3 separate regions of the Mus musculus genome follow, and all the other regions are reported to be linked to region 2. The links are microRNA targets in miRTarBase. Many come from high-throughput screens and were not tested one by one. Region 2 holds a microRNA gene; each other region holds the end of a gene's coding sequence.

Evidence for each region. Region 2 holds the annotated microRNA mmu-miR-467b-5p (GUAAGUGCCUGCAUGUAUAUG, at 5,769-5,789, opposite strand). A microRNA usually pairs through its seed, bases 2 to 8, with sites in the 3' UTR of a target mRNA and lowers its output. Matches are read on the target gene's strand: a 7mer-m8 pairs with bases 2 to 8, a 7mer-A1 pairs with bases 2 to 7 and ends in A, and an 8mer does both.
Region 1: the mRNA of Myl6b is a reported target of mmu-miR-467b-5p. Seed matches in the 3' UTR shown: 7mer-m8 at 3,193-3,199.
Region 3: miRTarBase lists Runx1t1 as a target of mmu-miR-467b-5p. Seed matches in the 3' UTR shown: 7mer-A1 at 1,290-1,296.

Annotation. Positions count from the first base shown.
Region 1 is chr10:128,490,993-128,501,040 of GRCm38, forward strand. Myl6b (myosin, light polypeptide 6B) reads right to left here and starts at 7,693. Exons shown (of 7, transcript NM_172259.1): 1 at 7,636-7,693; 2 at 6,209-6,425; 3 at 5,622-5,649; 4 at 5,261-5,404; 5 at 4,062-4,235; 6 at 3,598-3,675; 7 at 3,165-3,491. The coding sequence starts at 6,379. The coding sequence ends at 3,463. Myl6 (myosin, light polypeptide 6, alkali, smooth muscle and non-muscle) reads right to left here and starts at 2,894. Exons shown (of 7, transcript NM_001317218.1): 1 at 2,817-2,894; 2 at 2,547-2,574; 3 at 1,610-1,753; 4 at 1,237-1,410; 5 at 1,067-1,144; 6 at 728-772; 7 at 1-41. The coding sequence starts at 2,819. The coding sequence ends at 744. A430046D13Rik (Riken cDNA A430046D13 gene) reads left to right here and starts at 8,255. Exons shown (of 2, transcript NR_131151.1): 1 at 8,255-8,534.
Region 2 is chr2:10,498,396-10,509,074 of GRCm38, reverse strand. Mir467a-10 (microRNA 467a-10) reads right to left here and starts at 5,802; the gene lies at 5,720-5,802. All of the region lies in intron 10 of Sfmbt2 (Scm-like with four mbt domains 2), which reads right to left. It overlaps Mir669a-11 (microRNA 669a-11), which reads right to left and starts at 7,736; the gene lies at 7,650-7,736. Mir466b-3 (microRNA 466b-3) reads right to left here and starts at 5,510; the gene lies at 5,430-5,510. It also overlaps Mir669a-12, Mir467a-9, Mir466b-2, Mir669a-10, Mir467e and Mir466p, and 3 more genes.
Region 3 is chr4:13,889,381-13,899,057 of GRCm38, forward strand. Runx1t1 (RUNX1 translocation partner 1) reads left to right here. Exons shown (of 11, transcript NM_009822.3): 11 at 232-5,676. The coding sequence ends at 507. Among named protein-coding and RNA genes, the nearest start is that of Gm11823, 100 kb to the right of the region's middle.

The DNA.
Region 1 (10,048 bases), not on the chromosome of region 2:
TACAGAATGTCCTCAGCCATTCAGCACCATCCGGACAAGCTCTGTGGAGAAGAGAGGCGGAGTCAGCCGAGGAGAGGGCTGGGGAGGGGTACCCATGGGCCAGGAGACCACGAGACCATGAAGGTGGCAGGAGGGAACATGCCCATAGCAACCAACCTTGGGTCAGTTTTCAAAAGAGCCACTCAGAGTGGCCAGTTCTCTCTGTCCCTGGTTCCCCTCCCACTGGCTGTTAGCCCCCACCCCCAATCTAAATAGCAAGAACATAGCAGAGGCAGAAAAGTTCTCAGCTACACCTACAGTTATGGTCAGCCACTGGCAGGAGGAGAGGTCAGCTTTGGGTTAGGGTACCTCCACGCTGTCCAGTAGAGGGATGGAAAAAGGACTTTTGTTTTAGCAGCAGAATGGGGCAGTTAGCTCAACCCTGCCCCCGCCAACTCTAGAATCACCATCAGACCAGCCTTCCCTACAAGCTGGTGAGCGTTCCCAGACACCAGCACCAAGACCCCTGTAAGTCAAATCTCAGAGACCATTCTAGGAGAGGAGGTACCACACCCCCAAACTGCATTCCTCATTGAGGAATTTCTCCCCTCCCAAGCCAGCTCCATGCAGAGTCATGCCAGGAGTAAGGCAGATGGTAGTAGGGTATGGCCAGAGGCTAGAGCACAGGTTGGGAAGGAAAAAAAAACACTAGGGAGATAACTAGAGGAGAGGCTGGGAGGAGCCGTACCCGCCCCATGGGCCCGTCACCCCGACAGGATATGCCTCACAAATGCTGCAGGAAGGAAGAGACATTAATGGTGAAGACAAGACACAGACATGGGGTGAAGGGGTCAGGCAGTGGAACAGACATTCTGTTTACGTCCCATTCCTAGCCCACCCTCCGTCCTCCATCACCCCCCCCTTTACTGCTGTCTCCCCAACAGTTCCCTCCCAGGCTGGACTGAGCCTTGCTTGCCCCTTTGACTCCCGACTCCCTTCTGGAACCAAGTCTAGGAATACAATGCCTCTTTAACATCTCCTGAACGACCATTTCCTCACAGGCCCCAGTTTATGGTCTGCCCCTCACCTTCATAGTTGATGCAACCATTGCTGTCCTCATGCCCCGCCACTAGCATCTCTACTTCTTCCTCTGTCATCTTCTCGCCTGCAGAGGAAGGAACATTCTTAGAACTGAGTGACTGACGGGTGAAATATATCAGGTGGCAGCTCAGCTCCAGAAAGGTCACAGACCCTTACCCAGTGTGACTAGGACATGACGGATTTCAGCACCCATGACGGTGCCATTTCCTTCCTTGTCAAACACACGAAGGCCTTCAACATAATCCTCGTAGGTTCCCTGGTCCTTGTTCTTGGCCACGGTCTGCAGCATGGGCAGGAAGTGCTCAAAGTCCAGCACCTTCACATTCATCTCTGTCATGTGGGAGGTGGAGGTGTCAGACAAGAGAAGTCACACATGTTCTCAGGACATGACGGTAGGGAACACAAGGACGGCCAGAAGAGGGAATCAGAACTGGATGAGACAAAACTTGCTCAAGTTTGGCACCTATGCAGATAAAGGGATGACTTTAGCTGAACAACCATGAACCCACTACATTCTTGAAATGCTCACCATCACTCTTGGGGTTCCCTAGGACCTTGAGCACCTCGGCGTTGGTAGGGTTCTGGCCCAGGGCCCGCATCACATCCCCACACTGGCTGTACAGGATCTTGCCATCACCTGTTCGGTCAAACAGCTGGAAAGCCTCCTTGAATTCTGAGGATTCAGAAGAACGGCAGCACCAGGGATTAGCCCCGTGCTTGCTGCACAGCTCTGCTGCCAATTCAACTTAAGTCATGCTGCAGAAACCAGATATCTTGTCCTCCTCTATACACAAGACTACTCCTAGGGATCTATTTCTATCAACTCAAATGCCCCACATAAAGACAGGCAACCTTCTTTCCCTTACCTTAAGGTGGTAGCCATCTGTTTACACACCCCCTGAGCTGCGGCAGGCTAGGCTCTCCACCACTACTATACAACTCCGCAGGAATCTGCCACCGCCCAGGCTAGGTCCTGCCCATATAAGGAAGTAAGAGCCTGGACTCTAGCCTCCCACTCCCACCCTTCCCCTCCGGGAGACCTTCCAAGAGGTGAAGCCACATCCTTAGCAAACTCTCCAGTGCCCATCTTAACAAAATATCAAGGCACTGCCCTCTACAGTACTCAGAATCCAAGCTTAAGGAGGGGACAGTTATCAGAGGAGAGGCAAAAAAAGAAGCAGCAAACCACAAGCGTAATAGACCCGACACATAACAGGCACTAGTCAAATTGTTTCACACACCCACACCACCTAAAACTCACCCAGCGCTTGGGGCTCAGATCTGGAGTGGAAGGGGAAGGAAGAAAGAATGAGAAAAGAAAATGGAGGATCTAGAGCAGAAGGAAATCCACGGGGCACTCTCCTGGGAGCGCTGGAGGTGACAGGTTGGGATCAGAAGATAGATGCTAAAGGAAGGGGGTCCCTCTCGGTAAGGATGACCTGAGCTGCGGGTCAGAGACTGCCTACCTGCGGTCTGGTCCTCGGTGAAGTCACACTGCTCGGAGAAGAAGGGATTGGTCAGTTACCTGAGGTCCAACCCCGCAAGCTTCTATCCCGGCTTTACAAACTCCTGTTTGAAGCCGAGGATTCGCTTCCCAGGGCAAAGCCCTAGACATTCCAATCCCACAGCCAACCTTCCAAAACCTGGGCGTGCCCACGTCCACTGCTTTCTCTACTCCCACCCGCGGTCCTCTCCTTGCCCCAAATCCCCCTGATCTCCCGATTCCCAGGGCCCACCATCTTGGCTGCTGAGCTCTGCTGGACCTTTTCCGGCAGTAATGGCTCCGACGCCCTACCCAACCCCAGCCTTAGTACGTCCCATGGCGCATGACGTCACCCTCCGCCGTTTCATCCAATAGGCACGCTAGTCTGGGCTCATGCAGATGACATCACTACATTATTAATGAGGTGGGGGGGGGGCGCCCTACCTCGGCTCAGGAATCTAGCAGGGGGGCCTGGGTTGGGACTCTCGGAAACCTTTCTTCCGAGCTGCACCAAGAGCAGAGGATTTGGGCTTTTGCAGAAGAGAGGACTACCCGCTCCCGTCCTTCCTCTTTCTCAAAAGAAAACTGTCGGAAACCGAAGCAGGAACCATGTTTTTATTTCAAAACTGTAAGTGCCCCCTAGTGGCAGGAACGCGCTTCTGGCCGCACAGGAGGTGGGGCAAGTTTCCGTCGCTGCAGGTTCTACGTGGGGTGGGAGTCGGGGCTGGGGTGGGGTGGGGGTGGGAGGGGGTGGGGGGTGGGGAAGGAAATAGTCCAGCCCTGGCGGCTGCGCTACGGACGGGCGCGGAGACGCACTGCCTGCGCTTCTATCTGGTGGATCGAGGACCCTTGCCTCTCAAGCGGATACCAGGGGCTGGCTGGAGGGCCACCTGCGGAGCTCAGAGGCTTAGGATATGCTTCAGGAAGGCTGCACGAAAGGAGACGAGAGGACTTGAGAAACTGACCTTCGGGTAACTGAGGGTACTCCCACCCCCCTCAAGTCTCCTTACTCCCTGGCCATCCTGCCCCCTCACCCTCATAGTTGATGCAGCCGTTGCTGTCCTCGTGGCCTGCCAGAACAGTCTCTACCTCTTCCTCAGTCATCTTCTCTCCTGAACCCAAAAACAGTTAGAGTCCCCCGCCTTCCCTGCCTCACCAGCCCAAGACATTCTCAGGGTGGTTCATCCTCCCACCCTTGCCCTTTTTCATATCAACGGTGCCTTGGAGCAGGTGAAAGCTTTGACTTGACAGCGAAACAAGCTGCCGGGGTTGAGACTTGCATGGAATCAACACAATTGTGGCTTGCAAAGGGGGACATTGCATTCCCTGCCCTTGGCTCATAGCTGGACACTTTAGCCTCTAGGTGATCTGTCTCCACAATGCTGGCCCTCTTGAGTCTCCTGCCCATAACTGCAGGACCATAAACCCATTCTAGGCTCTACTTAGCTCTTCCAGGACCCCCCACTTCTCCACCCCACAGCTCTGGGCCCTGCCTCACCGAGAGTGGTAAGAACATGTCTGAGCTCTGCACCCATGACCTTGCCGTTGCCCTCTTTGTCAAACACACGAAGCCCCTCTAGGTAGTCCTCATATGTGCCTTGGTCCCGGTTCTTGGCCACTGCCTGCAGCATGGGCAGGAACGTCTCAAAGTCTACACGTCGGGACTTCAGCTCTGGCAATTAGATAGAGATGAGAGAGATCAACTGAGGTGTGGGATCCAGTGCAATTAGATAGAGATGAGAGAGATCAACTGAGGTGTGGGATCCAGTGCCATCCAACCCTACTATTGTGACTTTCATCCCTTTCAGCATTCAGGATGTTTCTCTTCCCTGTGTTTGACGTTTTTTGAGTCCTGAGGTCCATCCTAGCGTCCTCTGTCACCTTACCAATATTCTGTCATTGAAAATTGAAACTGTTGCCAGGCCTGGTGGTGCAGTTTTGTAACTACAGCTACCAGGCAAGTTCAAAGCCAGCCAGAACAACTTAAGACTGTCTCAACAGAAAGGAAAAAAAAAAAAAAAGGAAAGGCAGGGATGTAGCCCAGTGGCTGGACACACTCAAAACAGAAAGAGAGAACCACTAAGCCCACACACCTTCAGTCCCAGCATTCAGAGGCAGGGGAAGTCCCTCTTGAGTCTGAGGCCAACCTGGTCTATACAATGAGTTCCAGGCTAAGCAGGGCTATATAGAGACACCCTATGTAGTAGTAATAGTAGTAGTAGTGGTGGTAGTAACAACACTATCTAAACAACAATAATAATAATTAAAATTTAAAAAGAAAAAGAAAACTGGGGATTGGGGCTGCTGGGATAGAACTGTAGGTCCCTGGCCAACCTGAGTAATTTGGTGAGCACCTGTCTCAAAAAGTAAAAAAAAACAGTACCTCTGTAATAAGGGCTTGCCTGGCTTGCCTGAGGCCCTGGATTCAACCCAGCACTACATAAACTGGAGTAATCCCACCACTCTAGTGGGCAGTAGCAAGAGGTGGAGATAGGAGAATCAGAATGTAAGGTCATTCTTGGCTGGGATACTGAAATCCTATCTTGAAAGAAAGAGAGAGAGAGAGAGAAGAAAAAGAGGAAGAAGAGAAAGTTGCTGGCTAGAAATGTAGCTCAATGGCCCAGGCAGAACCCTGTATTCAACGTTCAACACCAAGAAGAAAACAGAAACCCCCACAAAACTCAAGGCTCCTCTCACCCTCGTTTTTGGGGTTCCCCAGGACCTTGAGCACCTCGGCGTTGGTAGGGTTCTGGCCCAGGGCCCTCATCAGGTCCCCACACTGGCTGTACAGGATCTTGCCATCACCTACTCGGTCAAACAGCTCAAAGGCCTCTCTGAATTCTGAGATGTAAGGAGAAGGCAGTGTGACCAAGGATCCCCATCACCAACAGAGAGAGGGAGGTTTGCTTCAGAAATTCATGTGCTAGAGCCAGGCATGGGAGGGAGGAGAACAGGACAAGTGTGGGAGGTTTCAAGGTCAGGACTGTCGTTAGAACAGAGAATCTGACCAGGAGTTTGGGGTTTGACAATGGGGCTTAGGAAATGGGCTTCTCCTCACCCTCCAGCTGGTCCTTGTTAAACTCGATCTGTAGGGGACAAAAAGGGCAGGTGAGGAGATGACAGGGCTTATTCAGTCCCTCTCTATCACAACCAACTGGCAGCCACTTCTGGGGAGGGACCCAAAGGGATGAAGGCGGGGAGCCGGGCCACTTCAGTCCTGTCCCCAGCTCTGGGCCTTGGGAGAATCCCAAGAGGAATTACAGGGGGAGGGTTTCTTGGGAACAGGGTTAATCCCATGCCACCTGTTCCCTTCCCTCCTGCTACCCCGAGTCCTGCATCCCTCACATAACTGGGGGCTGAACAAAGGCTAAATTTACCCCTGCCCCCAGCTGTGATTGTCTAACAAGCCTGCCCTCTTCAGTCTCCCCTCCTGGGGTTCAGAGATGTAGCCTTCTGAGTTGAACAGAAGAGCCAGAGGCAGACAGCACCCCTCTCCCTTCACTTCGGAAACTGGCCTGACCTGGGAGCCCCAACCTCATTCCAGCGTTCATTCATTCCCTATCCTTTCCACATATTCCCGGATACCCAAGGCTGCACCGCATCTCTGAACTATCCCTTCCAGATTCACACTTCCCCAGGACTCACCACCACTTTGGAGAGATCAACAGGGGGCTCCTGGGATTTTGCAGGTGCCTGGGGGGCAGCCGGCTCAGCCTTGGCCTTGGCTAGAGGGGTCCCTGGTGTAGACTTGGCAGCAGGCTTAGAGATGGAGGGCCCTGCTGGTTTCTTCACGGGAGCATCCTTCTTGGGAGGCATGATGTCAGGTGGCCAAAGAACAATGTGCTGATGGGGGCACCCATCTCTGTTTAAATAGGCAGGGAGTCTGGGATGTCAAGGGGCGGGGGCAGCAGCAGGGACAGGGAGCCAGTTGGCAAGGGTGAGGGGGAAGAGACTTATGCCTGTCTGCCCTCACTCCCCTGGCCTCCTATGGTTCAGGACTCCTGCCCCCAAAGTTTTCTTCCCTCTGATACCACTCTCCTACAGCTGAATAGAATGTTTTCTTTAAGGGTACAGAGAAGAAACACGAGACCTGTCAGAATAGGGATTGTTAACCTCCAGGGTGAAGATAGGATGTTTGCCAGTGATTCTGAGATAGGAGCTAAGGGGAGAAAGAAGAAAACTAAAGTAGAAAAACAAACAAAAACTTGCATTAGTTTTAGACCGTGGGAAAGCCCAAGCAAAGCAAGGGCTTGGGGTGGAGTCGGGGTAGAGGGGTGGGGGGCTGGTATCAGGTGGGAAGTTTTAAAATCTGTTCTGGAAACAGTAAAAGGTGAGAGGAGGCCTTTGCACTCCCTTCTGTCTTTTCCCGTATCCTTAGAACTTGTAATCCCTGGGCCCCCACCTACCCCCAACCTTAAACTATGCACAGTAACTCGAGCGTGTTATTACCCACTGACTTCTATACCTAATGTTGGTTTAGGGGTTCCAGTGTAGGCAAGGCTTAACATCTGTCACACATAATTCCAAAGAAGGAACATTTTTCAACAAGACAATGTTATTCAAATCAAACAAAAGGCTATAATGCCTAGTGAGCATGGAGGGAACACACACACACACACACACATGGAGGGGGCCCTGGGAGACAAAGAGCCCCCTAATAACCCAAAAGGTTACAGGACCTCCAAAGGAGTTCATAGGTATCCACACGGACACACCATTGGTCAGGATCACATCAAAAACCTTAGCTGAGCTTTGAGTCACAAACCTTGCTGGAAGCGCTGATGAAGGGAAAAGATGATGTTTGGGAGCTAGGAGGTTCTGGCTACTCTGTTCTTGGATAAAGAAGAATTACATGGCATTCTGAGAGACTGGTCATTCCACTTAGGCCCTGGAGTTCGCAGAGTAGCAGTGGGTCTCCCATTTGCAAAAGGGCGTCAGAATCTTTTTACTGCAAATTGTCCCATTTTTGGAAAATAAAGAATCCTTCCTAAACAAAACGCCCGTTTCCCTCACTTTCACTCACTCCTAAGCCCTAGAGAGGAAAAAGACCCTCCCAGCCCCTCAAAACTCACCTTGCCGGGTCCGAGGAAGGGGCAGGTGGGGGGCGGGACTCAGGGCAGCTCCTGTCCCTGAAGGGTTAAGTGCGGCTGCCGCAGAGCATGCTGGGAGTCGTAGTCCGCGAGCACCCGCAGGCTCACAGGAAACCTTTTCCCAGCCGTGAGAGTTGGTGGTGACTTCCGGCCCCTGGTGACAGTTGGTGACTCAGGTCCTGAGGCGTGCGCCGGTTCCGGAATTGAAAGGGCCTGAGCTGTCCCCACCCATGACCCTGCGGCTGCAGACCCACAGACGCCCGCAAGGCTAGGGGCGGGGCCGGCCCGGGCGGTGGGAGGGGCCGGGCGGTGGGCGGGGCGGCAGCGGGGGCTTCCTCAGGCTGTTAGCTGCGGAATGGTGTAACTTGGCAGAGTTTTGCGTTTTATTTATTTATTTATTTATTTATTTATTTATTTATTTATTTATTTCACATTTGATAGTGGTCGAAAGACTGACTGAAGTAGATGTTAAGATTTACAATTTAGCCTGGCCATCTGCTTCCACTCTCCTCCTTGTGGAGGCGTCTGCTGAGGCCGCCAATGCACCGCGGTCTCCCCCCCCCGAGATACCCAACAAATGCAACGCTGGGCTCTGCAGTCCTTCTTTACCTTTCCGACACCATTGCCCAGCCTGAGTATTTGCACTTTCTCCCTGGAGTTTAGCAAATGTCTGAGTGCAGAGAGGGAACCGGCCCACCGTCCCGAAACAGACGAATAAATAACTCTGGCGGCGCGCCTCATACTAGAGCTTGTGCAAGCAAGTGGACCAGAAATAGCTCAGGGTAGAAGACTCCCAGCGGCGCCATAGGAAGAATGAGGCACAAGCCAATTTTGTACCCTGAAACGGACATTCCCCGGCTGGAAAAAGCTTGAGTAAAAAGGTCTGTACGGGTGCAAGGGATGTAGCACAGTTGGTTGCACAAAGCTCTGGGTCCCAGCACTCAGGAGGTGGAGACAGGAAGAATCAGATGTCTTTGGGACGTAGGGACTTCGGGCCAGCCTGAGCTACATAAGATCCAGTTTCAGAGCAGAAAGGGAAGGGACGCCTGAGAGCTTGTCTTAAACTAGAAAGCAAGAACAAGAAAGCAGTCTTGGTGATAACACAAATGTAATCCCAAGTCGGGGGGTGAGGGGGGGGGGGGGACAAACGAGCCTGGGCTATACAGTGAGACTCAAAACAACAGTGAATAAGGGCTGAAGTTAGAGCTGGCTGGCAGAACAATTGTCTACAACCGTTCAGGTTCTGGGTTCAGTCTCCATCACCATTAAAAAGGATTCCCACCCCCCCTGGTTTGTTTGTTTGTTTGTTTGTTTTGTTTTTTGTTTTTTTGGTTTTTTGAGACAGGGTTTCTCTGTATAGCCATGGCTGTCCTGGAACTCACTTTGTAGACCAGGCTGGCCTCGAACTCAGAAATCCACCTGCCTCTGCCTCCCGAGTGCTGGGATTAAAGGTATGTGCCACCATGCCTGGCTGTGTTTTATCTTAATAGATATGTGGTCCGGTGTGACTTTTTTGTTTACGTTTTTCAATGGCCTCAGTCTGCTGCTGCACTGGCTAGCCTGCCCTGCCTCCCTGTTACTCTGTGTTCTAAGGTTCTTGGGGTCTAACCCAGAGCTTTCTGCATGCCAGGCAAGCGCTCTACCCTCGTAGCCCTGAAAGGAAAGAAGTGGTGATAATCACACAGCAGTGTATCACTTCAGAAACTTGAATAATTGTGGGTTCACCCTATACAACTAGATTTTGTGTTTGTTTTATTTTTATTTTGAGACAAGGTTTCTCTGCATAGGCTTGGCTGTTGACTTTTGTCTTTTTTATCTATTTTATTGAGAGTTCTTATACTATTCTCTCCCTTCTAACCCTCCCCCCCGCCCCAATACAACATGAGGTAGGAGAGAAAGGCTACAGAGGAAAGAGGACGAAGACCTCCACAGGCTTCTTCCTTGGTTAGGTTGTGGTGTTCCCAGGGGCAAGTCAGCATCCCAGCAACAGCAAGGGGAGCAGCTGCCGTAGGCCTTCTAGGGGCCCTTGTATTAATATCCTCTCCAGAGTCTCTAGAATTAAACTATCTGCAGATGGCAAAACCATGCCCCTCTTGGAGCACAAGACAATCATAGTGGCTGAGGACAAACTGAAGAAGCCCCATATCCCACACTTGGGCTTAAAACAAAAGCACATAACATGAGGGGGTTTTAAAGAAACCAGAACTCTCAGTACACCCACCTGTCCTGGGCTCGCTCTGTAGACCAGGCTGGCCTCAAATTCCCTCAGAGAACCAGGCCAGCCACAAACTTAGAGACCTGCCTGCCTCTGCCTCCCGAGTGTGGGGATTAAAGGCGTGCGCCACCACTGCCCAGCTGGACATTAACTTTCTTTTTCTTTTTTTTTCTTAAGATT
Region 2 (10,679 bases):
TGTATGTATATGTATATTCATATACACACATGTACATGCACACATACATATACACACAGGCATATATACTAGGGTCATCACAAGACTCCGAAGCTGATCACGAACTCATCATGAAGTTCAGCATGAATTTTGATTCCTGGTCATCCAAAGTCTGGCAAGCAAGCATTTTCACCTTGTGAGTGAGAGCACTCACTGGCCCAGCCCTGCATAATCTCTAAAGCTCTGAGTCACCTGTCATTCAAAAGGATCAATGAGTGACATTCCTCTGTGTGTGTGCGCGTGTGTGTGTGTGTGTGTGTGCGTGCCTGTGTGTTTATGTTTGTCTGTATGTAGATGTATATTTGTATACACACATGTACATATACACAAAACTATACACACATGCACATATATGGGGGGAGGATGCCATGAGGCCAGGCTGATCCCTAGGTCATTTTGAAGTTATTCAGGAATTTGAACTGCTGATCCAAAAGGCAAGCGTTTTACCTGGTAAGTTAACTGAGACATAGCTCTGGCCATTCCTGTGAGTGAGTGTGTGTGCATGCGTGTATATGCATATTCATATAGAGAAGTGTATGTGCACAAAGCTATACACACATGCACATTCTTTATGGTCATCACATGAATAGCATGCTGATCTCTAACTCATCATGAAGTTAAACATGAATTTGAACTCTTGATCCACCTGACTCTGTGGTGTGAGACCTCTCCCTATTGAGTACTGCAGAATCTCTAAAACTCTAAGTCACATATCATTCAAATGGACTGAGGAGTGGCATGCGTGTGTGTGTCTGTGTCTGTGGATGGGTCTATGTGTGTGTAGGTATGTATATTCATATACACAATCCACACACAGTTACACACATATACACATACATGGGGACATCACATGATTCCCAGGCAGATCTCTAAGTCATCATGAAATAAAGCATGAATTTGAACTCCTGACCTCCTGATTCTAACAAGCATTTTTAACATGATGGGTGATAACTCTCCCTGACCTAGTCACACATAATCTCCAAAGCTCACAGTCACATAGATCAATGAGTGAGTGCCATTCCTGTGTGCCTGTGTGCTCATATGTGTCTTATGTGTGCGTGTATGTATATGGATATCATATTCACATATGTACATGTACACACACATAAACACATATACACATACATAGGGGCAATCACATGAATGCCAGGATGACCTCTAACTCATCATGCCTTTACCATGAACTTGCACTCCTGATCTTCCCGACTCTACCAAGGGTTTTCCCGTGGTTTGTGAGACCTCACCCTGGCCCAGTCATACATAACCTCCAAAGCAGTAGGTCACATATCATTCAAATGGATCCGTGAGGGCCATTCCCGCATGTCTGTGTGCATGTGTGTGTAGGTGTGTGTATGTATATGCATAAAATATACACGCATATACATGCGCGCACTTATGCACACAGGCACATACATAGGGGCCATCACATTATTCCAGGATGATCTCTAACTGCTCATGAAGTTAAGCATGAAATTGAACTCCTGATCCTCCTGACAATGCCAATTGTTTACACCTTGTGAGTGAGACCATTCACTGTCCTTCTACTGCATAATCAGTAACATTCTAAGACATATATCATTCAAATGGATCGATGAATGCCATACCTTGGTGTGTGTGTGCTTGCTTTTATACGTGTGTGTGTGTGTGTGTGTGTTATGTATAATCATATACACACATGTACATGCACACAAAATTATGTGTGCATGTACATACCTAGGGTCCATCACACGAATCCAGGATGATCACTAACTGATCATTAAGTTAAGCATGATTCTGAACTCCAAGACTTCTGATTCTGGCAAGCGGTTTTCATCTAGTTGGCGAGATATTTCACTGTACCATAAATATACACTCTATGAAATTCTAAGCACATATAAAACTTATGGATGACTGCCATGTGTTTCTGTATGCATGCATGTGTGAATATGTGTCAATATATGTCTTTTCATATATCCGCATGTACAGACAAACTTATCTATACACATACACAGAAACAATCACATGAATAACAGGCTGATCTGTAACTCATCAGGAAGTTAAACATGAATTTGAACTCTGGGACCTCCTGACGCTGGCAAGAGCATCCACCTCCTAACTGAGACATAGCTCTGGCCCAGCACTGCATAAGCTCTAAAGCTCTGAGTCACATACCATTCCAAAGGATATATGAGTGCCATTCCTGTGTCTGCATGTGTGTATATGCATATTCACATAGAGAAGTGAATATGCACACAACTACACACACATGCACATTTTGGTGTGCATCAATGAAACACATGCTGATCTCTAATGCATCATGAAGTTAAACATAAACTTGAACACCATATTCTCCTGACTCTAGCAAGATTATTCACCTCCTACCTAAGAAATAACTCTGGCCATTCCTATGAATGTGTGTGCATGTGTGCATATGCATATTCATATAGAGAAATGAATATGCACACAACTATACACACATGCACATTCTTGGTGGGCATCACATGAATCCCGTGCTGATTTCCAACTCATCATGAAATTCAGCACAAATTTGAACTCCTGATCCACCTGACTCTGGCAAGGGATTTCACCTGCTGAGTGAGACCTCTCCCTATTCAGTACTGAGGAATCTTAAAACTCTAAGTCACATATCATTCAAATGGACTGAGGAGTGGCATTCATATGTGTGTCTGTGTATGGGTCTACGTGTGTGTAGGTATGTATATTCATGTACACAAATCCACACACAGTTACACACATATACACATACATGGGGGCATCACATGATTCCCAGGCAGATCTCTAAGTCATCATGAAATAAAGCATGAATTTGACCTCCTGACCTCCTGATTTAAACAAGCATTTTTAATATGATGGGTGATAACTCTCCCTGATCTAGTCATACATAATCTCCAAAGCTCACAGTCACATAGATCGATGAGTGAGTGCCATTCCTGTGTGTCTGTGTGCTCATATGTGTCTTATGTGTGCGTGTATGTATATATCATCATATTCACACATGTACATGTACACACACATAAACACATATACACATACATAGGGGCAATCACATGAATGCCAGGATGACCTCTAACTCATCATGCCTTTACCATGAACTTGCACTCCTGATCTTCCCGACTCTACCAAGGGTTTTCCCGTGGTTTGTGAGACCTCACTCTGGCCCAGTCATACATAACCTCCAAAGCAGTAGGTCACATATCATTCAAATGGATCCGTGAGGGCCATTCCCGCATGTCTGTGTGCATGTGTATATAGGTGTGTGTATGTATATGCATAAAATATACACACATATACATGCTCACACTTATGCACACAGGCACATACATAGGGACCATCACATTGCACCACTCTTTCATGAAGTTAAGCATGAAATTAAACACCTGATCCTCTTGACACTGTCAATTTTTTACACCTGTTGAGTGAGACCATTCAGTGTCCTTCTACTTCATAATCAATAAAATTCAATGACATATATCATTCAAATTGATCAATGAGAGTCATACTTATGTGTGTGAGTATTCAAGTCTGTATGTGTGCATGCATGTGTATGTATATGTATAATTATATGCATACATGTACATTCACACAAAGTTACACACACATGCACATACCTAGGGTCCATCACATAAATCCAGTACGATTTCTAACTCATCATGAAGTTAAACATGAATTTGAACTCCAGATCCTCCTGACTCTGGCAAATGGTTTGCATCTGATTAATGAGATGTTTCCTGTCCCATGAATATGCACTCTATAAAACTCTAAGCACATATAAATCAAATGGATGATTGCCATGTGTATTTGTGTACACATGTATGTGTCCATATATGTGTATATATATGCATATACATATACCCACATGTACAAGCACACTTACCTATAGACATATACACGTACACAGAGGCAAAAACATAAATTACAGCCTTATCTATAACTCATCATGAAGTTAAACATTAATTTGAACTTCATATCCTCCTGACTCTGGCAAGAGTATTCACCTCCTAACTGAGGCATAGCTCTGGACCAGTACTGCATAAGCTCTAAATCTCTGAGTCACATAACATTCAAAAAAATATATGAGTGACATTCGTGTATGTGCATGAGTATATATGCATATTCATGTATAAAAGTGAATATGCACACAACTATACTCACATGCACATATTTGGAGGACATCACACGAATCGCATGCTGATCTCTAACTCAATGTGAGTTAAACATGAATTTGAACTCGTCATCCTCCTGACTCTGGCAAGAGTGCTCACCTCCTAACTGAGACATAGCTCTGGCCATTCCTATGAATGTGTGTGCATGCGTGTATATGCATATTCATATACAGAAGTGAATATGCACACAACTATACACACTTGCACATTTTTGGTGGGCATAAGATGAATCCCATGCTAATCATGAACTCATCATGAAATTCAGCACGAATTTGAACTCCTGATCCAACTGACACTGTCAAGGGATTTCACCTGCTGAGTGAGACCTCTCCCCATTCAGTACTGAGGAATCTTAAAACTCTAAATCACATATCATTCAAATGGATCGATGAGTTGCACTGATGTTTGTGTGTGTGTTTCTGTTTGTGTCTGTGTACATGTATATATTTGTGTAGATAGGTACATCCATATACTCAAATCCACACACAATAGAAACAGATACAGATAGAGATACATAGGGGGCATCACATGAATCCCAGGCATATCTCTAAGTCATCATGAAGTAAAGCATGAATTAGAACTCCTGATCCACAATCTTTCACACCTGGTGAGTAAAACCATTCACTGTCCCACTACTGCATAATCTTGAAAACTTTAAGTCACACATCATTCAAACGTATAAATGAATGCAATTTTTTCCTGTGTGTGTGTGTGCTTGCATATACACGTGTGTTTATGTTATATATAGCATGTCAACAGAGATAATGCACATACAAGTAAACACACATGCACATTCATGGGAGGCATCACATGAATACCAGGATGATCTCTAACTGAATTAAGCATGAATTTGCAATCTTTATCCTCCTGACTTTGTCAATCTTTTACACCTGGTGAGTGAGGACATTCAATGTCCCCTATTGCATAATCGCTAAAACTCTACATCACTTATCATTCAAAGGGATTGGCGAATGCCATTCCTGTATCTGTGTATGTGTGCTTGCGTTTATACGTGTGTGTGTATGTTATGTATATTCAAATATAGACATGAACATGCACACACAACTATACACACATGCACATACATGGAGGAATCACAGGCTGATCTCTCATGAGGATAAGTATGAATTTGAACTCCTGATACTCTTAACTCTAGCAAGCATTTTCACTCTAAGTCACTTATCACTCAAATGGATTGATGAGTGCCATTCCCATGTGTCTGTGTGCTCATATGTGTCTTATGTGTGCGTGTATGTATTTGTATATCATATTCACACATGTACATGTACACACACATCAACACATATACACATACACAGGGGCAATCACATGAATGCCAGGATGACCTCTAACTCATCATGCCTTTACTATGAACTTGCACTCCTGATCTTCCCGACTCTACCAAGGGTTTTCCCGTGGTTTGTGAGACCTCACCCTGGCCCAGTCATACATAACCTCCAAAGCAGTAGGTCACATATCATTCAAATGGATCCGTGAAGGCCATTTCCGCATGTCTGTGTGCATGTGTGTGTAGGTGTGTGTATGTATATGCATAAAATATACACGCATATACATGCAGGCACTTACGCACACGGGCACATACATAGGGGCCATCACATTATTCCAGGATGATCTCTAACTGCTCATGAAGTTAAGCATGAAATTGAACTCCTGATCCTCCTGACACTGCCAATTATTTACACCTGGTGAGTGAGACCTTCACTGTCCCTCTACTTTATAATCAGCAAAATTCTAAGACATATATCATTCAAATGGATCAATGAGTGTCATTCTTATGTGTGTGAGTGTGCACGCCTGTGTGTGTGAATACATTTGTATGTGTGTGTATTTATATGTATGATCATATACACACATGTACGTGCACACACAATTATATGCACTTGTGCATACCTAGGATCCATCACACAAATACAGGGTGATCTCTAACTCATTATGAAGTTAAGCATGAATTTGAACTCCTGAGACTCCTAACTCTGGCAAGTGGTTTTCATCTGATAAGTGAGATTATTCCCTATACCATGAATATACACTCAATGAAATTATAAGCACGTATAAATCAAATGGATGACTGCCATGTGTGTATGTGTGCACATGTATGTGTCCCTAGTTGTGTGGGTGTGTATATATATATATATATATATATATATATATATATATATATATGCATGCTCATATACGCGCATGTACAGGCACACTTCCTTTTACACATAAACACATACACAGGGAAAAATCACATGAATTCTGGACTGATCTCTAACTCACCATAAAGATGAACATGAATTTGAACTACTCATCCTCATGATGCTGGCAAGAGTATTCACCTCCTAACTGAGTCAAAGATCTGGCCATTAGTGTGAGTATGTTTGCATGTGAGTATATGCATATTCATGTAGAGAAGTGAATATGTACACAACTATACACACATGCACATTCTTCGTGGGCATCACATGAATCGCATGCTGAACACTAACACATCAAGAAGTTAAACATGAATTTGAACTCCTCATCCTCCTAGCTCTGGCAAGCATACTCACCGCCTAACTGAGACATAGCTCTGGCCATTCCTATGAATGTGTTTGCATGCGTGTATATGCATATTCATATAGAGAAGTGAATATGCACACAACTATACACACATGCACATTTTTGGTGGGCATAAGATGAATCCCATGCTGATCATGAACTCATCATGAAATTCAGCACGAATTTGAACTCCTTATCCACCTGACTCTGTCAAGGGACTTCACCTGCTGAGTGAGACCTCTCCCCATTCAGTACTGAGGAATCTTAAAACTCTAAGTCACACGTCATTCAAATGGATCGATGAGTTGCACTGATGTTTGTGTGTGTGTTTCTGTTTGTGTCTCTGTACATGTACTTATTTGTGTAGATAGGTACATCCATATACTCAAATCCACACACAATAAAAACAGATAGAATAGAGATACATAGGGGACATCACATGAATCCCAGGCATATCTCTAAGTCATCATGAAGTAAAGCATGAATTAGAACTCCTGATCCACAATCTTTCACACCTGGTGAGTAAAACCATTCACTGTCCCACTACTGCATAATATTTAAAACTTTAAGTCACATATCATTCAAATGTATAAATGAATGCAATTTTTTTCCTGTGTGTGTGCTTGCATATACATGTGTGTTTATGTTATGTATATCATGTCAACACATACAATGAACATACAAGTAAGCACACATACATATACATGGGTTGCATAACATTAATACCAAGATGTCTCCAAATGAAGTTAAGCATGAATTTGCAATCTTTATCCTCCTGACTTTGTCAATCTTTTACACCTGGTGAGTGAGGACATTCAATGTCCCCTATGGCATAATCGCTAAAACTCTACATCACTTATCATTCAAAGGGATTGGCGAATGCCATTCCTGTGTCTGTGTATGTGTGCTTGCGTTTATACGTGTGTGTGTATGTTATGTATATTCAAATATAGACATGAACATGCACACACAACTATACACACATGCACATACATGGTGGAATCACAGGCTGATCTCTCATGAGGATAAGTATGAATTTGAACTCCTGATACTCTTAACTCTAGCAAGCATTTTCACTCTAAGTCACTTATCACTCAAATGGATTGATGAGTGCCATTCCCATGTGTCTGTGTGCTCATATGTGTCTTATGTGTGCGTGTATGTATATGTATATCATATTCACACATGTACATGTACACACACATCAACACATACACACATACATAGGGGCAATCACATGAATGCCAGGATGACTCTAACTCATCATGCCTTTACCATGAACTTGCACTCCTGATCTTCCCGACTCTACCAAGGGTTTTCCCGTGGTTTGTGAGACCTCACCCTGGCCCAGTCATACATAACCTCCAAAGCAGTAGGTCACATTTCATTCAAATGGATCCGTGAGGGCCATTCCCGCATGTCTGTGTGCATGTGTGTGTAGGTGTGTGTATGTATATGCATAAAATATACACGCATATACATGCAGGCACTTACGCACACAGGCACATACATAGGGGCCATCACATTAGTCCAGGATGATCTCTAACTGCTCATGAAGTTAAGCATGAAATTGAACTCCTGATCTTCCTGACACTGCCAATTGTTTACACCTGGTGAGAGAGAATATTCACTGTCCCTCTACTTTATAATCAGCAAAATTCTAAGACATATATCATTCAAATGGATCAATGAGTGTCATTCTTATGTGTGTGAGTGTGCATGCCTGTGTGTGTGTGAATACATTTGTATGTGTGTGTATTTATAGGGATGATCATATACACACATGTACGTGCACACACAATTATATGCACATGTACACACCTAGGGTCCATGACGCAAATCCAGGGTGATCTCTAACTCTACATGAAGTTAAGCATGAATTTGACACGAGAAGACTCCTAACTCTGGTAAGCGGTTTTCATGTGATAAGTTGGATGTTTCCATATACCATGAATATACACTCAATGAAACTCTAAGCACGTATAAATCAAATGGCTGACTGACATGTGTGTTTGTGTGCACATGTATGTGTCCCTCGGTGTGTGTGTGTGTGTGTGTGTGTGTGTGTATGCATGTTCATATACACACATGTACAGGCACACTTCCCTATACACATACACACATACACAGGGAAAATCACATGAATTCTGGACTGATCTCTAACTCATCATAAAGTTTAAATGAATTTGAACTGCTCATCCTCATGATGCTGGCAAGAGTATTCACCTCCTAACTGAGACAAAGATCTGGCCGTTAGTGAGAGTATGTTTGCATGTGAGTATATGCATATTCATATACAAAAGTGAATATGTACACAAGAATAAACACATGCACATTCTTGGTGGGCATCACATGAATGGCATATTGAACTCTAACTCATCATGAAGTTAATCATGAATTTGAACTACTCATCCTCCTGACTCTGGCAAGAGTACTCACCTCCTAACTGAGACATAGCTCTGGCCATTCCTATGAATGTGTGTGCATGCGTGTATATGCATATTCATATAGAGAAGTGAATATGCACACAACTATACACACATGTACATTTTTGGTGGGCATAAGATGAATCCCATGCTGGTCATGAACTCATCATGAAATTCAGCACAAATTTGAACTCCTGATCCACCTGACTCTGTGAAGGGACTTCACCTGCTGAGTGAGACCTGTCCCCATTCAGTACTGAGGAATGTTAAAACTCTAAGTCACACGTCATTCAAATGGATCGATGAGTTGCACTGATGTTTGTGTGTGTGTTTTGTTTGTGTCTGTGTACATGTATATATTTGTGTAGATAGGTACATCCATATACTCAAATCCACACACAATAGAAACAGATACAGATAGATATACATAGGGGGCATCACATGAATCCCAGGCATATCTCTAAGTCATCATGAAGTAAAGCATGAATTAGAACTCCTGATCCACAATCTTTCATACCAGGTGAGTAAAACCATTCACTGACCCACTACTGCATAATATTTAAAACTTTAAGTCACATATCATTCAACGTATAAATGAATGCAATTTTTTCCTGTGTGTGTGTGCTTGCATATACACGTGTGTTTATGTTATGTATATCATGTCAACACATGCAATGCACATACAAGTAAACACACATGCACATACATGGGTGGCATCACATGAATACCAGGATGATCTCTAACTGAATTAAGCATGAATTTGAAATCTTTATCCTCCTGACTTTGTCAATCTTTTACACCTGGTGAGTGAGGCCATTCAATGTCCCCTATTGCATAATCTCTAAAACTCTACATCACTTATCATTCAAAGGGATTGGCGAATGCCATTCCTGTGTCTGTGTATGTGTGCTTGCGTTTATACGTGTGTGTGTATGTTATGTATATTCAAATATAGACATGAACATGCACACACAACTATACACACATGCACATACATGGAGGAATCACAGGCTGATCTCTCATGAGGATAAGTATGAATTTGAACTCCTGATACTCTTAACTCTAGCAAGCATTTTCACTCTAAGTCACTTATCACTCAAATGGATTGATGAGTGCCATTCCCATGTGTCTGTGTGCTCATATGTGTCTTATGTGTGCGTGTATGTATATGTATATCATATTCAGACATGTACATGTACACACACATCAACACATACACACATACATAGGGGCAATCACATGAATGCCAGGATGACCTCTAACTCATCATGCCTTTACCATGAACTTGCACTCCTGATCTTCCCGACTCTACCAAGGGTTTTCCCGTGGTTTGTGAGACCTCACCCTGGCCCAGTCATACATAACCTCCAAAGCAGTAGGTCACATTTCATTCAAATGGATCCGTGAGGGCCATTCCCGCATGTCTGTGTGCATGTGTGTGTAGGTGTGTGTATGTATATGCATAAAATATACACGCATATACATGCAGGCACTTACGCACACAGGC
Region 3 (9,677 bases), not on the chromosome of region 2:
CGTCTCACACTCCTGTATTGCGGGATGGGGGCGTTGACAGGGAGAAGGGCAGCAGGTTGGAGAGGTAGGGAGAGGGTGGGGCTGTGGTGCGACTGGAAGTTCAGCCAGGGTCTTCTGAATCGTCCATTTTGTCTCTGTAGCTCTTGGAGATGTGGGAGCAGTGATGCCTTCCCTGTTTACTAGATGTTTACCTTCATGAATATTCACCTGGGATCTCTCCTTCTCCTTCAGAGTTGCTGGAACTGTGGCCGGAAAGCAAGTGAGACGTGCAGCGGCTGTAACACGGCCCGATACTGTGGCTCTTTTTGCCAGCATAAAGACTGGGAGAAGCATCACCACATCTGTGGACAGACCCTGCAGGCCCCACAGCAGGGAGACACGCCCGCTGTCAGCTCCTCAGTCACACCCAGCAGTGGGGCTGGGAGCCCAATGGACACACCACCAGCAGCCACTCCGAGGTCTACCACCCCGGGAACCCCCTCTACCATAGAGACGACGCCTCGCTAGACCTAAACTCAGACTGTCAGAGGAAAGACACCACAACCAACACGAAAGCAATTCCTCATCCTCAGATGCTCAAAGTCCCTTTTCTGTTTGTTTGTTTATAGATGAACTATCTATCTTATTTCAGTACTTCGGCAAGAGAGAACCTAACTGTATCTTTGAGGCGATAGTAGAACACAGAGGCCAGTAACGGGTCGTAATGACTTACTGTGGATAACAAAGATATCTTTTCTTTAGAGAACTGAAAAGAGAGGAAAGAATATAACGTGAAATGCTAGATTTGACCTCCTCCCTGTTATTTCCAAGTAGCTGGGATTTTAAACTAGATGACCTCATTAACCAGTGCTTTACCAAACAGCAAACCAAGAGATTGCTAATTGCTGTTGAAAGCAAAAATGCTAATATTAAAAGTCACAGTGTTCTTTATATACAATAATGGAAAAAAAAAAAAGAGGCAATTCCTCAAGGGCATGAGCGGTGGATACAGAAGTAGACATTTTAACAAGAAGATGAATGGCGTCTGTGGGTTGCTAACTGAACTTTGAAGACCCGCTGCAAAACGCGCAGATGTGCAGCAGATTGGAAGGAGACACAGATGGTCCTTTTTTTCCTGTTTCTGAAAAAGAAATAATAATATCCAGGTCAACAGAATGAAAAATGAAAGATGATTTCCAGTGCGGTGTATGACTACAGCAGCAAGAAAAAAAAATGCCATAATACAAAGGCTCCTTTTTATATATATAGTCACACACACACACACACACACACACACACACACACACACACACTTAAGAGACTCAGCCTGCAGTTAATTAGCATTCTGGCAGCTTCCAAGTCAGCCAGCTGCCCTAAATAACCCTTCAACATTTCTTCACTTTTGCAAGGTTCCACAGACTAAGACATTGGGTCTATTCCAGCTCATTCATTTTATATTGAAAACTAATTTAAAAAAAAATGGTGGCTTCAGCTCCAGCCCCTTTCCAAAATTTTTCAACCCCACCCTGTTTGGATTTTTAATTAAAATCTAGTAGTTCTCTTGGTATTAAAACACTTCTGTCCTGTGAGGTTTTCCCAATGGTGTTTTTCTTGTAAATGTGTTGGACAAATGTGAAGATGCGTTGTAGTTTACCCATATGCCCACATTTAGTCTCTTTATTCCTAGTTGGTGAGAAACCTGTATCTTTCTATGCTGCTTTTATATCTGTATGTATTAGTGATATTTCTCTAGTAGTTAAAAAAAAAAAAAAAGAAAAAAAAAACTTTTTTGGTTGTCCTCAAGAAAAGAAAAGAAGAAAAGAAAAGAAAAGAAAAAGCTATCTTTTGGAGCTGCTAACTCACTCTCTTATAGGATTTTTTTTCCTGGAAACCAGCATGCTTCATGGAATGCTAGCACATGGATGTTTTAAGAGGGATGTACATAAATGTATTTTGCACTGTCACAATGACTCCCTAGGCATGCTTTCTTTTTTTCAAACCAACTTTTTAAATATGCTAGAGCCATTTCACCAATTTTAGCTGTAGCATAGAGTAGTAGTGGAATTTTTCTTTCTTTTATCCTTTTTTTATGAAAAGAAATTATTAGGGACTTTTTTAAAAAAAATAAAATAAGATATCCTACTTTAAAAAAAAAAAGGACAGTGCATGCATATTGCTGTAAGGTTGTTTAAGTATTTCTAATTTTACAAAAAAAAAATGAAAAAAATCATTAGAGCTCCAAATGCTGAGGTGTAGACGAACAGCTTTAACCCTGCTGAGTGCCAGGTAATACAGTGTTCTTACAAAAGGGAAATCAGCCAAAGACTGATCTGAGGGACCAAAATCGGAACTTTGAAAAGCACCAGTGGTACTTTCCAAATGATCAGCAGGTTGAACATGTTCAGTGTGAATCCATTAACCCTTCGTTGTCCAGGGTCCAGACCAGAACTACTGGTTAGTTTTGAAACACATTAGCCCAGGATGTGGTTGTGTGCTTTAAGAGTCGGCAGTGCTGCAGGCTGTGTAGACAACCAAAGTTGACAAGGCTGGGAAGACACTTCTCCACATACCCATACACCAGGCATTTCTTTACAAATTGAGTACAATCCATTAGCTTGCGGGAGGGGGAGGGGAGCGGGTAATGTAGCCCTTGGATACAGTTTTAAGTGGTTGTATTTAAGTTATCTGCATAGAGGCAATCCTCCTGGGTTTGCTTTATGTCTCGAAAATCTAAGATTTTTCTTAAACCATTTCCCCCATATTTTCATATACCAGTCGGTTTTGATTTTGTTCCGGTGGTGTTGTGTTCTTTCTTTCTTTTTTTTTTTTTTTTTTTTTTCTTTTTTCTTTTCAATGGCCTTTTAATTTAGGAAGTTCTGATGAGCAAATAAATGCATCTATATCTATCTGCATGTTGGAAGTCCATCTGCCAGCACACCTGCTAAAGGCAACGAGAAGCACATAAGCAGGCTCTGAATGGGTTCTATCTTACCATGGTGCTCCCAGAATCCTTTGACCTCATTCTGCTTTCTAGTCTGCTTGTGACACTGGACAGTCCTTTCTTAGAGCTATTCTATGTTCTAGGCTACGAAGGGTTAAATAATCCCAAAAATGAGGTATGTCATACCCTCACGTCTCGATCTCAAGAAGCTGTGATGTACGTGGAACAGCACTGTTATTCTGAACACTAGTGTGTAAAGTAAGGATTAGTACAGTCCGTCTCATTACTTTTTAATTCAGGGCACCCTGAGTGAAAACCAATACAAAAAAAAAAAAAATCCCTAACTCTGAGCTCTATCTCTAATTCCTCTTCCTCCTTCCCCTCTTCCTCCTCCTCTTCCTCTCCTCCTGTTTTGCTACATTCTCCTCAGTGGCAAAAAGTTTCACTCTACCTCTGACAGCATGTATATTGCACCAGTAGCTAACAAAAACTGGTCTAGTCAAACCAAATGGGCACAAAAGAACCAGGATACCAAAAGTCATACAGCTGCAAACCATATCACTTCTTGGTAACAATGCAGACCTCATAAACCTAAAAAAGAGAAAGAAAAGAAAACTTTTGTTACTTTCCTTTTTTGCTTGTCACTTATATACAGGCTATGTGAGAGTATTGATTTGTAGGTATTACACATTAAAAAAAAAGTTATCTTCATTGGATAGAATTGAATGGTGGTCGCTGATAGGAATAGGGCGTCCTCTATCTCTTATCTCTGTCTCTTTTCTCTTTCTCTTTCTCTGTCATGAGACTGTGTGTGACAGGGCCACCTGTCTTTTTTATTTTTATTTTTCTGAACTTTTTTTTTTTTAATGTGTAGGTGCATGTCTTGGGGATTTAAAAATTTCAAGGCTGGTTTACTTATGCAAAGCATGCCTATGTCTGGAATACTTAGGGAAAGAAAGCGACTCCATGTTGTCCGAATTCCTCAAGGGACAGAAAAAAAAAAATTGGAGACTGTTGAAATGCAGATTTGAAGTAATTTTATTTTAATTATTTTGGGTTCTGCGACATTATTGTGAAAAATTAAAGTTGTTGTGCAATACTTAATTCAGACACGTGCCACAAGTTAACGGTAGACTAACACTGGGGGGCGGGGGCTAGGCATCACGCTTTTGTCTGCATACTCTTGAGCTTTTAAGTCTACTATGTCCGAACTGTGGTTTCTTGTTTATCCTTTTTTTTTTTTTTCCTTAGTTGGACTGTAATGTATGGTCTGTCAACCTGTGAATCTTTAAAGTATGATTCAGGTATTGTTGTACTCTTTACTGTGTAATAAAAATGCTTAAAAAAAAGTCTGTATTCTGTCTCCCTTATCTTTACTGTGTGCCAAGGCTACCACTCAGGGACCTTAGCCTTGAAGGGCAGTTCTTCATGGAGCATGCCCGGAGTCTAGTCAACTCCAGAGTATGTCTCTAACATGTGTTAGTTCATCCCTGAGTGATGAGGGAGAATGATAGAGCACAGAGGACATTCCTGAGGTCATTGTAGTCAAATGTAGAAGGACTCTCAAAGTCCTCCATAAGAAAGGAGAGCATAGTCTAGGGGTCTCCTTCTCTAGAAAGGTCCATTTACCATCTTCTAAAGCTCTGACATGCAGAAGGTTGCTCCCATGCATAGCTGCAGGATGTACACACTAAGACACTCCATCCGTCTTGGATCCTCACTGCCTTTAATCAGATGTTGCCAGCATGTTCACACTTGGTTTTGTACACTTGTAATACACAGTATGGTGTGTCCAACTTGTTTCTAAGACCCATGTCCATCTAACACACATAAGTATATATTTTTTCATGCACTAGCTATAAAGTAGCTTAGAATTTGGAGAACCTATTGGTCTACCCTAGGAACACAGTCAATTTTCGAGTACTTTACACAACATATTTTTTTTAAAGGAATGTATACACTACATTCTGGTAAAACTTCTTGTTTGCTTGAAAGATTCCCACTATGGCCTAAAAACTAGTTTAAAGGGATAAAGGGAAATGCAAGGCCTGAATCTGAAGAGACAGAGACATCAGAGATGCTGATGAGTGGGAGGGTAATCTTCAGCTTCCTTTGTATGCTAACTAGGCCCCTATACCTGTCCTGAGACCTGGCTTCTTCAAGGATATTGAGAAATGCAGCCTATTTTACAGAGTGAGGAAAGGAGGGAGGGAGAGAGAGAGACAGAGATAGAGACAGAGAGAGTTTAAAAGCCTAGATAGTGCATATCTTATCCCTACAAAATAAACAGGCTGAATATTTAATTAAGTAGTTAATTTTTTTCCCCACTCAAAAGCCTGCCCAGCCTTTCCTTATTTGTACAGATACATTTTCTTTTTCTTTTCAAAATGGAACAGACCAGAAACCAGAAGACATGGAGGCTAGAACGGAGTCGCCTTGAAGTAGCCCCTTTATAAGCTGTCCTTGAAAAACAGCTCTGTGACATATTTGTATGACTGGATATGCTGGACAAATGCGTAATGAGTTTAGTTAAGATGAAGAATGTGAGCAAAATCAGCAGCTTCTGGGTGGTGAGCACCATTTTTTAAAAGAATGTTATTGATGTATTTGATAATATAAAAATGATGTTTGCCATGAAAGAACACTAAGTTATTTCCCCAAAATGGAAGGGGAAGAAATGATCAAAGAGGTGCTTTTCTGTATGGGTGTTTATATCTTTATTCCAAGGTGAATGAATAAAGTTGTACTTGCCTAAACTGGTCCCTGGTCAATCTCTTCTCAGCATTACTAAAAAAAATGAATCAGACAAAAACCAGGAAATAAATTTTCCACAAACACAGAAGGGGATATAGGGCCGGAGTTGTTTTTCCTTTGCTTCTGGGACTTTCTGATTTAAATAAACATTTGCCTAAAAGACTTCCAAATAAATATGTGAGAAATCAATGGGGGGTTTATTAAGGCCACGATGCTTGACTTACTGTAATAAATGTACGAGTTGAATGGGAAGTTAGACTTCAAGTGGGTATGTGAACGAGTACCCACTTTTAGTTCCCAATGCTAACAGTACAGGGTTGGGGTTCTACATGTCACTGTCTAGGAGTGAGCTTTCTCAATGTATGTCACAAACAAGCTCAATTTCTGTGTCACCAAAAACTCAAAAGATGAGAGACAAGTTATCCTATAGGAATATGAGACAGTGGAAGTATATGGAGCTGTCCAAAGAGTACCTGCATAAATCAAGAGCAACTGGAGCCCCTTTCAGTCCCCAGTACAAGGTCAGGCACCCAATTAACACTCAATAAATATTAATTGTAAATACAACTGTGAATCTGCAGCTGGAAAATGTGCTGCCAGTTTCTCAGAAATAACCCAGTTGGTTATAGAAACAAAAAACATGAGGGCCATGATTTAATCACCTGAGAAGGAGAACGCATGAAGATGAGTAAAGCCATGTGCAGCTCCTACCTTGACAAAGCAGAGGCATGGCCATTGTTTACAAATACCACAGTTGATAAACACCAAAGCAGGCAAGTCTTTACCACATAACAGTACCTGGTTATTGGTGACAAACACATATTTAATTAATTGTCATGGTTCTCTGTTAATTTATTATAATTTATGTGTTAATTGATTTACATAAGGCTTAGTTACTAAGACATTAGAAATACTTTAAGATTCATGTACTTAACAGTCCAGAGTAAGAACAGTGGCCATCTCATGGCCTCTATCTGCCACAAAGGGCTTTTTAGCTTTTTAGCTTCACATCTTTGCCTGTGGGGCTGCTGGGTGTAGGGGAAAGAGAGAAGGAGAGAACCCGTGTCCTGCCAGAGTTCCTGTGCTCTGGGCAGGTAGATGCAGGAAGACTGCTGGTCGCTTCCCACTTGGCCCCAGGTGGGCATCTGGCTGTGTGAAGCCACTGACCCCACTCAGCAGTGGGGGGACAAGGGGCAGCCCCTCCCCCATACCAGAGGCCCCAGGGCGACACCCTCAGTGCTGGAGATACAGGAAAGAGGGCAGAGGGAGAGAGGTTCCCATGCAAGTGAGAGTCCTTAGTCCAGTCTGTGGCTGGAGCACAGGAAGGCCTTCTGACGGGAGATTAGGCACAGCTCATTAGGAGAAAGCCTATCCCATCATCCAAGCACAGCGGGCCTTGATGAGCAGAGACAGTCTATGGTTTAGAACTTAAGGCAGGGGGAAAGAGAAAAGGTAGAACGAGAGAGAGACCCACCATGGCCATATGGAGGGAAGAGGGAAGGGGGAGAGAGGAAGAGAGTTAGAGGGAGAGTAAGGAAAGTAAAAGCTTAAGAGAGTAAGAGAGTGAGGAGGGGCCAAGCAGTCTCTCTTATGGTGGGCTTGTTATCTTGTTGTGGCTAGGTAACTGGGAGTCGGCTAGCCTTAAGGCCAGAAGCTTGGGACATTGTCTATGTGACTAAAAGCCACACTTCTCCTGTGGGGGCGGTAACTATGACAGGAGCGAGGGGTCCAGGAGACCTTCTGTCCCATGTAGGTGGGAATTAACACCACTGGGTTTCTCCAGGGTTCACACCTAGCCTCTACTGGAAACCAGGCTGTCTGTGCATAGCCCATTGCCCCACATTTGCCCTGCTGTATTCCCTCTGAATCCATGAATTCTCTCAAAGTGTCCCATCTCCTCTCCTATATCCATTCTAGAAAAAATATTAAATCCTTTAATATTTTCCTTTACCTCAATATTTCCTCTATCAGACCCCATGCTTGCCCTTGAAGGTTCTTGTAGGAACCATCTTGAAAGAGAGAGAAAGGAATACCTCAGCAGATAAACATTATATGTTGAGGACCGAGGTGGAAGCATGCATGCACACATGTTACTACTGTGACAGTGTTTTATATATTGTGGTCCAGAAACACTGGAGCATATACTTTCTTCAAAGTATAGCTGCTCTCAGTTTTGTGGCGATGATAATTTCCCTTGGGACTTCTGGCTTTCCAACCTACTCTGGAGTTTTCCTGTGCTTCAGATGGTTTCCAAGAGCGCCACTATTTCCCCTGGATGCTCTGATCTGGGGGAAAAGACCTTCTTCCCTTGAAAGCTAACAACAAAAGGACTGTGATTATAGTTCGGAGCTTTTCTAACACAGAGAAAGCCCTGGATTTAATCCCAAGAATAATAGAAAATCCAAATAAGACCTAACTAAACAGCAGTGACTCTATATAGTATGTCCCTAAAGATTATGTATGCATATTTTTATTTTTATTTTATTTTATTTTTTTTAAGATTTATTTATTGATTATTTGTAAGTACACTGTAGCTGTCTTCAGACACTCCAGAAGAGGGAATCAGATCTCGTTACGGATGGTTGTGAGCCACCATGTGGTTGCTGGGATTTGAACTCTGGACCTTCGGAAGAGCAGTCGGGTGCTCTTGCCCACTGAGCCATCTCACCAGCCCCCGAAAGTAGAAGCAAGTTGTGGTTTGAATAAGTTTGATCCCATAAACTCACGTGTTTGAATGCTTGGCCTATAGAAAGTGGCACTATTAGGAGGTGTGGCCTTGTTAGAAAAAGTGTGTCACTGTAGGTGGGATTTGAGGTCCCCTATGCTCAACCTATGCTCAGTGTAGCACAGTCTCTCCTTGTTGCCTACAGATCAAGATGTAGATCTCTAGGTTTCACCTCCTGCAGCATGTAGGCCTCTACACTGCCAAGCTTCCTGTCATGGTGATAATGGACTAAACCTCTGAAAATGTAAGGCAGCCCCAATTAAATGTTGTCCTTTGTGAGAGGTGCTGTGGTCTTGGTGTCTCTTCACAGCAATAAAACCCTAACTAAGACAGAAATATTTTCAGTTTTCTTCATAAATAAGAAATGTTTAGGATAGATGTGCTTAGCTTTGTATGAAAGTTATGCAATGTATACGTGTGTCAAATTCCACATTTCATATTAATTATACATCAACAGGTACAATTTTATGTTTTATGCTTCAAAAAGAATAAATTTAATTAAAAATTAATAAAAACTAACAGAAACAATTGGATTTTAAGAGTCTTCTAACAACAGAATTACTCCAGGATTAGAGAAGAGTTTGCTACTCCTGAGTACCTTCTCAGAGCAGCTCTACCTCATTGCTTTAAGATTATCTGGCGGGTGGGGGGAGGGTATAGGGGACTTTAGGGATAGCATTTGAAATGTAAATGAAGAAAATATCTAATAAAAAAATGAAAAAAGAAAAGGATTATCTGGCTGTTGAGAGAAGTAAATCAGACTCTCCTGATAGAAGTTTGTAAATTAGACCAGTCTCTATATTACTGGGGTTTCTGTTCTGGAGTTAGAGAAAGAAAAAAATTGTTATCTAGCAGTTTTCTTCAAGATTAAACCTTTCCACCTTGGAGGGAAGCTCACCAAGACACAGGGCTTCATTAAGGAGGCAAATCAGCTTTAGTCTGCAGTGGTGTGATAGGATATAGGAGGTTATTTGAATTTTGTTGTGTCTGTTGATGTTTGCTTTATGGACTGAGTATGTGGTCCATTTTGGAGAAGGTTCCATGAGGTGATGAGAAGAAGGTATATTCTTTAGTGTTTGGGTGAAATGTTCTGTAGATATGTTTCACCCATTTGAGGCACAGCATCTGTTACGTCCATTATTTCTCAGTCTACTTTTTGTATGAAGGTACTGACCATTGATGATAGTGAGGTGTTGAAGTCTCCCACTATTAATATGTTGGGTCTGATGTGTGATTGAAGCTTTAGTATTGTTTCTTTTACAAATAGGAGTGTCCTTG